Linked DNA regions of Schizosaccharomyces pombe. The protein of the gene in region 1 binds, or shares a complex with, the protein of each later gene. Each region holds a gene or a part of one and is shown on either strand. Other genes may lie near its edges.

The links.
Region 2: ssb3 (region 1) and ssb1 share a complex: the UniProt entries of both Schizosaccharomyces pombe proteins name them as parts of the heterotrimeric canonical replication protein A complex.

Annotation. Positions count from the first base shown.
Region 1 is NC_003421.2:1,279,482-1,286,773, reverse strand, and holds ssb3 (DNA replication factor A subunit Ssb3), read left to right. Parts: upstream 1-4,372; 5' UTR 4,373-4,409; coding exon 4,410-4,556; intron 4,557-4,619; coding exon 4,620-4,722; intron 4,723-4,823; coding exon 4,824-4,888; downstream 4,889-7,292. Other genes in the region: pxd1 (protein Pdx1), read right to left, coding at 1-424; rpm1 (3' ssRNA-specific 3'-to-5' exonuclease), read right to left, coding at 739-3,612; pdr16 (sec14 family protein), read left to right, coding at 5,875-7,292. UniProt on the Schizosaccharomyces pombe protein: As part of the replication protein A (RPA/RP-A), a single-stranded DNA-binding heterotrimeric complex, may play an essential role in DNA replication, recombination and repair.
Region 2 is NC_003423.3:218,682-223,298, reverse strand, and holds ssb1 (DNA replication factor A subunit Ssb1), read left to right. Parts: upstream 1-2,000; 5' UTR 2,001-2,038; coding exon 2,039-2,079; intron 2,080-2,148; coding exon 2,149-3,937; 3' UTR 3,938-4,117; downstream 4,118-4,617. Other genes in the region: M phase inhibitor protein kinase Mik1, read right to left, coding at 1-323, 392-1,600. UniProt on the Schizosaccharomyces pombe protein: As part of the replication protein A (RPA/RP-A), a single-stranded DNA-binding heterotrimeric complex, may play an essential role in DNA replication, recombination and repair.

The DNA.
Region 1 (7,292 bases):
TAAATTGTCTCTTACTAACACGAACTCTAGAATCTTCTGAAACAGAAGCCGTCATAAGTAACGGCTTTTTCTTGGGAATGGTATGGCCAAAGCTTAATGGGGTCAAGCTTTCTGAATGCAATTGATCAACGGAATTATTTTTTTCTTCAAAATATTTGGTAACTCTTGATGTAATACTGTTATAAGAAACCTTCGATTTAGAAGAACGAATGTGTGGTTTCTCAACTTTAGTAAAGTCATGAATATTAGCATTATCCTTTTTCAGGAAAGAATGCAGCGTTTTCTGTCGCGGTGCTGCATGGACTTTCATCTGGTATCGAAACCGCTGAACCTTCTCTGCAAAACTTTGCGCAGCATCATTTTCTTCAACATTAACGTCGTTTAAATTTAAAGAGGGTGCTGTTTCACCTTTAGATTCAATCATTTTTCTTAACTTAGATTTTAAACAACGCAGCACACTTCGTCGATGGATTTATAAGCATCCAAAGACATTTGCTTCTTGTCTTACAAAAAATAGAAAAAGAAAATATATTTTAATCACAAGAGTCAAGGTTAACAAAGAGACTTCATAGTAAAACTACCTGTTGGTTTTTGAGATGAGTTTTGGCGAAACAGGTTACTATCAAATCCCAAAACATAATTTATTTATATCGTTAAGTCTCGGTAAATTGATAAAATGCAGGATTGAGTATTTAATTAAGTAAAATTATATCCATAAAAATAGTTTTAATAAGTTTGTTAGGTCGCTAAAGCAACTAATAGGATATTAGACTCCGGAAAGACATCCTTAATTGTAAATGCCTGGCGAGTATTTGCTAACCGGAATGCTTCGTCCGGGAGAATATCAATATGCGCTTTAACACCCAATTCTTCCAACATGACCTGAGGTGTTGAAAGTTCTGAAACCATTAAATATCCATGATAAATATTTTTTTGTACCTTTGGAAGTCTCTCTATATATTTTAAGGCCCAGAAACGATTAATGTATCTTCCTATAGTTTTAATTGATTTTTCTTTTTGGTTGTACAAATTTAGTTTTCCACGAAGAATACCATCAGGTATAGTATTTTTTGGAGTCTTTAATAATACCGACTGAATCTGATGATGAGTGAAGAAGTCGGTAAACCGGCGTAAAGGAGAGGTAGACTGAATATAGCCATCCTTTAGCCCCAAAGAAAAGTGGGAAACAGGTGTGGAGGCTAAATGTGAACTTTCAAATAAAGGCATTACAGAAAGTGAATACTTAGTTTCAACGAGTCCCCAAGATGACCTGTTACTTAACAAAGTTTCAAACGCTTTTCTTCGTACACCATCCATAATTGGATAAGGCTGGCCCCTAAAAATCCCAGGTAATTTATGTTCTTGAAAAAATAATGATGAAACCCGGCCAGCCAATATCATGCACTCTGATATTACTGATTCTGCCAAGCTATACCCTTCACTAACGTTCAAACTAATTGTAGGGAAGGAAGACCAGTATACTGGATGATTCAGATCACCAAGATTATAAGGGACATTATTAGGCAGCAATTCAACTGTCGGAGTGGGTTGTGCAATAACAAACGCAAACTTTTGTAACCTAGAAAAACAGGCTTGTTTCGAAAGTTCATATATTCTTAATATATCTTTCATGTGATCATTTGATACTCCTTTTGTTTCCTCATCCACTGGTCCAGAAACGATGTCTTTCGCAATTGATCGATTACTATGCAAAGCTTTATCCAGTTGTTGGGGTGTGTATTTGATAACTGAGGAAATGAAGCTAGGCCGAACCTTGTAATCAAGTATATCGCCATTTTTTGAAATTTTAGCACTAAAAGTTAATGCTCTTTGAGCTGTAGAAGATGAATCTAAACTCCAATATTTCTGAGTGATATTGAGAGGTAGCATATACACAATTTTGTTGGGATGATAAATAGTTTGAAAGTTCCTTTCAGCAAACGTGCCTAAAGGACTGCGAATGTCAACTGTACTCGTAGGATTAGCAACATGGATATGAAGCCAGGAATTAGACATCCCTAATTCTTCAACCGAAATCGCATCATCTATCTCTTTCGTAGAAGAACTATCAAAGGCGAACGCTTTAAGATGCCTTAAATCGACGCGTTGCGATTCAAGTGAATCTTTTAATTCATTTTTTACAAACTTTTTAAAGTGATTACACTCACGTTCATACACAGCATCTAACTGAGGATTAGTACCAAGGCCAGCAATGCTGTATTCCTGTTGAAACAACCTCGGGGGCTGCCATGAAGCCCACACGCCAATATCCGTTAAGAATTTAGCAAACTGATCACTAGTTAATCCCCTCTCGTGAGTTTGAAGGCCAACTTCTTTGTAAACCTGACACAAGTGTGTATTTGGTAAACTTTGAATACTTTTTGCAATCATTTCCTGAACAAGATACCGCAATAGTTTTTTTTCAAATTCAGTCCAAGTGACCTGTGAATAAACTACGGGTTTTATTTCTTCGGTGCTTATAGGTAACTTATATTTATCTCGGGAAACTTGAATTAAATGACGAGCTTTCTTTATAAACGAAAGATATGGTGTTGATTTCTGACGCAGGCATGCAACAACGTCGTCAAAAGAATCATTTTGTGAAGAGGGAAGGAAATAGACTTTTTGAATTTCGGAAAATATGTGATCGCTTATTAAAAAATGTTTGCTTTCTGTAAGCAAAAAGTGTAACAATGAGATTTTAGCATATGGGCTAGGCTTCGAAGTTTTGTACACAAATTTCAAAAGGTCTGAAAAAGAAGCTGAATTGTCAAGTTTATTTGGAATATTGAATTCTGTCAATATTCGCAAAAATTCATTTCGGTGACTTCGACTTAAATCTTGTGCTCTTTGAGAGATTTTTTTTAATAACTTTATAGTGAAAGGTAGGACATCAGAAGGAACAGAAACATCAGAAAGAGGTTGCTGCACCTCTTTCAGCTTTTTAAAGACATTAGGACATCTCAGTAAAACTCTAGATGTACGAAATTCCTTAATAGTACCGTTTTCGTTAATGCTGGTCAATACATTACTATAGTTCCAAACATTAGTACCAGTGCATGCAGCAAGTTCAATGCCTTCGGAGCCCCTATAAAACACTAGCAAATCTCCACGATCGTACTGTCTAAAATTCTCACTGCTGAAATCTTCTAAATCAAAAGAATACTCAAAATCATTTTCCAACTTCTCTTCCTCAGATTTTGTAGTAGTAGGACAAACAGCAGCGCGTTTGTCCTTCTCGAACTTGTCTTTCAACCACTGTCTAATGTTTCCATGATTTTCTAATTCAGAGAAAAATTTTTTAAGGTTTTCCTCATTCACGGATTTCAAATTAGCATTTTTAAATCGATCAATAAGATCTGATTGAGTATGCTTCAAACGCGCACCACAATGTCCCCAAAGATGATGATCGTTTGCTGGTTGTTTCCCGAAATTTATTAGGCATCCAGTTATGCGGAAATATTTCAAAACTTTTGAACTGGAAGGGCAAGCATGATGAAATTTCCTTGTAAGTTTACAAGGAGACAATTTTAAAGACAGGCATACACGTTTTAATAAATAATTAGACTCTAAATTAACATTTTGAAGAAGAAACAATTGCCTATAGTTCATGGGCAAAAACCCTATAATTAGTAACACCAAAAATAGTGTTGATGGTAAATTCGACTAGAGAGCTGAACCAGAGCACTTTTAGGTACTAGCAAGTATTAAGGTAACAAGCTCTGCAAATGTAAATGAAGAGTGGTTTAATAACTAATGTAACAGAAGAAAGATTTCAATATGAGTATGGAGTTTTTTGATTTTTTTTTTTTTGAATTGAATGGTCGAGGGGATGGGCGACTTCAAAGTGAAATACATGAAATCACAACCTCAAGGTAAAACTAATTGAAAAATTATATCATTAAAAGAAGGCTGCTTTCCATCAATTACATTTACTTTTAATTATTGAAGCTTCTGGTCTACGCCTAAGCAATTTACTAATAGTGGTATTGGAAAAGAGAGAAAATTAAGAGTCGCCGACGATTTCAAAAATAGTATAAAATACCATGAAATCTTTCCATAATGTTATTTAAATCACTATATGTAAGACGTATTTATATTGGTCTTTAACCCGTTTATTTACAACATTTCAACCAATTAATAAGTAGTGAAATTAACGCAGAAGGATACAAGGAGATTTTTTTATGAATAATTCTTATAAAAAATAGAACAGTAATGTATCAACGTTAGCCCCCAGCGTTTATATTTACGCTTTTGCTTTTTTATTTACATCCCAGCGCCTTCCAACATATAATACATAACGTACTGCGTTCCAATATTTTAAATAATTCGTGTCAACAAGTAGTTAACTACCTGGTCTGATACATACTTCACTTCCACCACTTTATAAACAACGCGTATAAAATAATATGGAACGCCCTACACCTCGAGTTACGAAAGATATGCTACCAGAATGCTCTGGAAAAACGGTTCGGATTGTTGGCAAGGCGAATCAAGTTGAAGGTGAAACTGCAAAAGTCGATTCCAACGGTTCTTTCGATATGCACCTCACTGTGGTACGTTTTATCTATTTTACAATCGGTTTTCAGAGTTTTTTTATTTTATCTAACTAATTTTAGGATAACACTCTTGAACCCAATCATTTCTATGAATTTGTCGTTTCTGTCAAACCAGATTCTTCGGTGCAGCTTTTAACCTGTGTTGATTTTGGCACTGATATTGGTAAGTTGTGTTTATAAAAATAATAAGGAAGTCCTTTGAACTTCTGCTTCTGCTAAGTCCTACATTCTATTGACCGATTAACTAATTTCCTGTTCCTTTAGATATGGAGGTATACCAGAAACTCGTTCTATTCAGTCATAAGTATAACTCACTTTTTTTTGAATAAGAAACATTTTATGGATCATACAACACAGATTTCTCTTTCATTTCTCATGCACAGTACAAATAAACATGGAAGAATAAACGCGCAGAATCTTGCTTCCTTCTTTTGGTTTTTGCATATTTTATTGCATTTCTAAACTCAAGCTTTTCTTTTATAATGATTCTTCCTTTTGGCTAATACAAATATGAATTTTACTATCGTTTATTTCACTTTTTTTGATTCTTGTTTGAGTATTTTTATATAACGTTCTCCTTTTTTCGCACTATCTTATTTAGTGTATCCTTGAGATGCTCATCGCGGACGATTCGGCTCCGAAGACGGTACATACCGGTGTTTCTTACGTTTGCTCATCCTTCAGTCACCCTGCCATTGTAACAATCCAACTACCATATATATACAAAGCGAGCAACGCAAGTATATCTAGTGGTACTACGCTGAATATCGCTTATTCCTAAAGAAAATTGGTTGTTTTGAGAATTATTATATTACTTTTTCCTTTACAAACTTTTTTGCTAAAACTGTTGTTTAGCAGTTATTGAGATTGTTAGAGAAATAACGTTAGAAAACGTGCATATGCAGAAGTTGGATTGTTTCGGAATTGCTCCGATTGAAATACTCTAAATATATCTGACATTTGTTCTTTGCATTTCTGTCTGCGCCTTATCTTTAGAGATCAGACACGTTTCTTTGAATATAATCTAACTTGCTTGCATGTTAAATTGGTCGAAACAGAGATAAAAGATATCCTGGAATTCATGGTAAACCATCGAGATCTCTTACTAAAAATAGAGAAAAAAGAAAAGAGTTAAGTATTTCGAACCCTATAGTAATTTAAGTCTTGGGAAAATACCTTTTTTCATTTAATTCCATTATTTCTAATTTCCTTTGATATTTCTTCTTTTACGGTGAAAAGAATACCCTTTGCAATCTAAACTGTTAATAGTTTATTCAAAACCAACATTCGTTAATTTTATCGATACAAAACCACGATGAAAGATTCGGAACATCACCATCATGGCCACAACGGCTTTAGTAAGTTTCTCCATAAACTTGGTTTTGGCAAGTCAAAAGGAAAATCGCATAAAAGCAATACCAGCAGTATTCATGAAAGAGAAAATACTGCTGCCAAAGGACCCGCCTCTAATGTGCGTCCTGCTCGCCCTAATGTTAGCACATCTTCCACTTCGAACGAGGTCAGAAAATCTGTACCTGTTGGTAATCCTACTGTACATACCAAAACAGGGTCTTCTTCATCTCCTGCCTCAAAGATGAGAAATACAGTCAACTTGCAGCATATTCAAGCAGCTAACCAAAAAACTCGTAATGCTGAAGGTGAAAGAAAGGTCGCTCAACGCAGGGTCCAATCTGATAAAGCTGAAGCTAATGATGCAGCCATGAGTAGTTCAGCTCCAACGGTAGATGTTTCCGAAGGTAATTCTGCCGCTGAACCAAAAATTACACCCGATGATTCAGATACACCCAGACTTAATGTAGATATGAATGATAAAATAAATGTCGATGAAGCTGCTGCTAAATCTGATAGCAAACTTAATGTCGATCAGATTAATTCTACTACGGAATCTGAAAAAAGAGTTGAGAAAGTTAATCCAAATATTGCGAATAATCCGCTAAAATCACCGGATGCAGTAGCATATAGCAGTGAGACGGTTTCTGATGAAAAACAACCTACTGAGCATCCTGTATCTGCTAATGTCCCTGCAAAATCTGAAAAAGCTGTTTGTGATGAAAATACCAAAATTTCGCTTACAAACACAGAGCATTACAAGTTTCATTCACTTCGCGGAGACGTTGAAGTTGTTGTTGGTGATTTGGAACGTGACGGAAGAGATACCTCTTTAGGCGATGCTTCGGTAAATGAAGCCGCTAAAGAAACTGACGTCGACTCTAGTCGTTTTATTTCAGATGAAAAAGCCGTGACTGAGGATGCGATGAAAACTGAACATGCCTCCAATGCCCCTCTCACTGATGAAAGGCATTTTCAGTTCCATTCTTCTGAAGGAGACATTGAAGGAATCGTTGGGACAATGCAGCGCCAAAGACAATCTGTCTCTTCGTATGACACTATCGTTCCTAGCCAATTCTATAAACAGAAGGTGGTGCAAAATAGCCCCCCAAGCTTGTTGAGCACTGATAACAAAATTCCAGAATCCGGCTCAGATCATCCCTCAAGTCAAGATAATTCCAGTAAAGCATCCTTGGTAGAAAACTCTCAGACACAATCATCTACTCCGAGAAAGCCGTTGCCAACTACCACTAGTCCTAAAGTAAATCCGGAACCGCATAGCGAAAGTATATCTGACACACGACCTTCTACTCCTAGAAAAGTGCCACCAAGTACAGTTCCTAAAATGAACCCGAAGCTCCAGGGTGGCAATAGCGTTACAGC
Region 2 (4,617 bases), on another chromosome or scaffold:
TTAAGATTTGGCAAATTTGAGTAATCTCCAGACCTTAGTCGTTGCCATTCAACACCATTTTCTGGCAGGACTACATTTGTTGCGGCTTCAATCATACTGAGGCCTAGTGAATATACATCGGCTGGTTTCCCATAATTATGCGAAGCTAATATTTCGGGAGCTATATAGACTCTGTCGCCTTCGAGATCAACCATCGAGGAGACCGGTAAACTAGTTGCTAGTCCGAAGTCTCCCAACTTTAAGTTACCATCACGAGTTATAAGAACGTTGGAAGGCTTAACGTCTAAATGAACAAATTCTAAAAGATGAATGAAATTTAATGCCTATGTTCGGTTAGTGAATTCAAATGACGTGTCTGTGGAACGCGACTTTTAAATATGTAATAACTTACTTGAGTTAGTTGAAACAACATTTTCCACACGCGAAAAGGATCCATGACCTGCAATAATCCCAATTCGCTTAAAAATAAACTTAGGTCTCCGTTTTCACAATAATCTAATTGCAAAAATATATTATCATTGTAGCTCCAAACGTTCACTAGATTTACTACAAATGGACATGCTTGCAAGCGTTGCAAAATAGATACTTCCTGTAAGTGACGCTCTTTTCCTGTAAACTTGGCTGCATTTTTTTTTAACATTTTTACAACGTAAACCGTTTCAGTAGGTGGGTTGATCGAAGACACATGATATACAAATGAAAAATCACTCTCGTGTATCGGCTTAACTTGTTGGAATCGAATTCGAAGATCACTAGTCCAATCTTCCTCTTCTTCGTAATCATCTGCGCTGTTGATGTTTAAAAAAATTGGACTGGTAGGTGTCCAACTTAATGAAGAAGGTACGTCTTTCTCATCCCAGTTATTAACGTGGGAACTTGAAAGGAAAATAGGCTGACTCTTGCAAGGCGTTTCGCAAAATTCCAACAAGTCCTCTGAACCATAAGACAAAGAAGGAAGTTCTTCCATTTCAAACGTTTCATCCGAGCTGTCAGAGTTTGGATGATCCAACCGACTAAAAGTATCTAGGTCGATATGTTTACATTTGCGAGCTAAAAGAGAGGTAGTGGGTGACAGCGGAGATTGAGGTGGTTTTAATTTTATTTTCGTTCCCTTTTTACAAGGTGTATGAGGTTGTTCACTTCTTGGATTAGTCAAATTCCCTTCCCATAATGACCACTTTTCACGTTTTGATAACAGTCCTGTGCTTAAAGAAGTCACCGCCCTTTTTCGTTTTAAATCAATTGGCGTTGAAGCATCCACAATTTTTTTGGATAACTTCAAGCCGCTCGAAAATGCAAATGGTTTGCTACACCCATCGAGATCTGAATTCTTAAAAATTCCGTGGCGAACTGTAGTGGATAATCTGATGGCTTTTGCATTATTTTGCATAGGGGTATGTGGACTTCTTTTTGTATTGGAAGGTTTAAAGAATGTCAGTTTTGATGACTTATGGCTCTGATTTTCTTCATGGCCAGACGAAAAATTGTAAATGGGTTCATCGTAGAAATTTAATGGAGAATGCTCATTAAACGAAGAGGATATATTAAAAAAACATGGTGTTCGCGTTGGAGTAATTGGGATGGTGGTTGATGAATCCATCTTTAACTGAAACCTGAATGTAAATAAAGTTATATTTTTTTGCTTATTAGCTGTTAAAATCCCGTTTTCACTTTGATATCTCCGGTTTTCCTAAATAATAAATAATATGCAGATGATAATGTAGTTCAACTCTTCCAACAAAAGGAAAATCACAAAGGATTTATTTCCTTTTGTAGAGAATTAAATAACACTACTATTCTTTTCAGCTTTTAAGGGCTTTTCTATAGCAATGTGTTGTGCGCAAAGGATAACTTTGAAAGTAAACAACCATTGTTGACATGCACGTACACAAACAACACATCTTAAAGTTACGCGTAATATTAAAATGTGTTACGACGCGTCATGACGCGTTCGCGTTTTTCATTTGGGATAACGCGACGCGGCTTCGTTCTTTTGCCTTAAACCAACCACTAATTAAAAAAAAAAGAATTTGCAAACATGGCTGAGCGATTATCCGTGGGTGCACTTCGTATAATCAAGTAAGTTAACTGTCCAAATTATATACTCAAAAGATTTCGACAAATTGGGATGTTAACACGTTTCTTTAGTACATCCGATGCTTCGTCTTTTCCTCCTAATCCAATTCTCCAAGTCTTAACCGTGAAGGAGCTAAACTCAAATCCAACTTCTGGTGCTCCTAAAAGATATCGTGTTGTCCTTTCCGATTCAATCAATTATGCGCAATCTATGTTAAGCACCCAGCTGAACCATTTGGTTGCCGAAAATAAACTTCAAAAAGGAGCGTTCGTACAGCTTACCCAATTCACTGTAAACGTTATGAAAGAAAGAAAAATTTTGATTGTTCTTGGTTTGAATGTTTTAACTGAACTTGGCGTAATGGATAAAATTGGTAATCCCGCTGGTTTAGAAACAGTTGACGCTTTACGGCAGCAGCAAAATGAGCAAAACAATGCTAGCGCACCACGAACAGGTATTTCGACAAGCACTAACTCATTTTATGGAAACAATGCTGCAGCTACAGCACCGGCTCCACCTCCCATGATGAAGAAGCCAGCAGCGCCGAATAGCCTTAGCACAATAATCTACCCAATTGAAGGTCTCTCTCCATATCAGAATAAATGGACTATTCGTGCCCGTGTTACTAACAAATCTGAGGTTAAACATTGGCATAATCAACGAGGTGAAGGAAAGCTTTTTAGCGTAAATTTACTCGATGAAAGTGGGGAGATTCGTGCAACAGGCTTTAATGACCAGGTTGATGCTTTTTATGATATCTTACAGGAAGGTTCGGTTTATTATATATCTCGTTGTCGTGTGAACATTGCAAAAAAACAATATACCAATGTTCAAAACGAGTATGAGCTGATGTTTGAACGTGATACTGAAATAAGGAAAGCTGAGGATCAAACTGCCGTCCCCGTTGCGAAGTTTAGTTTTGTTTCTCTACAAGAAGTCGGCGATGTTGCCAAAGATGCTGTTATCGATGTAATTGGTGTACTCCAAAACGTTGGACCAGTTCAACAAATTACCAGTCGTGCAACTTCTCGTGGATTTGACAAGCGTGATATCACTATCGTTGACCAAACAGGATATGAAATGCGTGTTACGCTTTGGGGAAAGACAGCTATTGAATTCTCTGTTTCTGAAGAAAGTATTCTCGCTTTCAAAGGAGTTAAAGTTAATGACTTTCAAGGACGCTCTTTGTCAATGTTAACTAGCAGCACCATGTCGGTAGATCCAGATATCCAGGAATCTCATTTGTTAAAAGGTTGGTATGATGGACAGGGTAGAGGGCAGGAATTTGCCAAACATAGCGTAATTTCATCTACTTTATCTACTACTGGAAGGAGTGCTGAACGTAAAAATATTGCTGAGGTTCAAGCCGAACATCTGGGAATGTCAGAAACACCCGATTATTTTAGCTTAAAGGGCACCATTGTTTACATTCGAAAGAAAAACGTGTCATATCCTGCTTGCCCTGCTGCTGATTGCAACAAAAAGGTTTTTGATCAAGGTGGCTCCTGGCGATGTGAGAAATGTAATAAAGAATATGATGCTCCTCAATACCGTTATATTATAACTATTGCTGTAGGTGATCATACGGGACAACTCTGGCTCAACGTCTTTGACGACGTCGGTAAATTAATCATGCATAAAACGGCAGACGAATTGAATGATCTACAAGAAAACGACGAAAATGCCTTTATGAATTGTATGGCAGAAGCTTGCTATATGCCATATATCTTTCAATGTCGTGCTAAGCAAGACAATTTTAAAGGTGAAATGCGAGTACGCTATACAGTGATGTCAATTAATCAAATGGACTGGAAGGAAGAGTCTAAAAGATTGATAAATTTCATTGAGTCTGCTCAATAAAACATTGTGTTTTACGTCTCGCTGGTCGAGTAATTGAGTTTTTGGCTTAAATCGCGAAAACTACGATTTATGATTTTGCATACATTGATTACAAAGTGACTCCTTTCCTTATGATTTGGTACTTCACTTACATTTAACTAGATTTAAAGTAATTATATATGATCTGAATTTTTGGAGTAATTAGTTCTGTTGCTTACATATTAAAGTTCCTTGATGGGTAATTTACGCTATAATGGCTTGATTGAAATCACCGCTAAAAGAATGCAATGATATCTTTTAATATGAAGTAAAATATACAGTAAACTTATCAATTGTTTTAGAATTGAAACTGTTGAAGAAATAAATTACCAGATTGTTTTGAAGTAAATACGAGTCTACGAAAATGCAATCCTATTTTAACAGGAATATGAACCATGATTTTTTTAAATTTACTTTATAAATAAACAACTTTAATAAGGAAGCGATTTAGATACCAATAACAGCAGGTTACATTCTTTAATTGAGTAATAATAATATAACTGAGCAAAAAGACTGTTTTGCGACAAATTTTGTTAATTACATACAAAATCTTAAAATACAACATTTCTTTGATTAAATCGTACAAATTTATCTTTAAAGATCCTTAATTAGCTCCCCACATTCTAAATGGAATGGAGTAAACTATTTAATCCGTCTCGCAA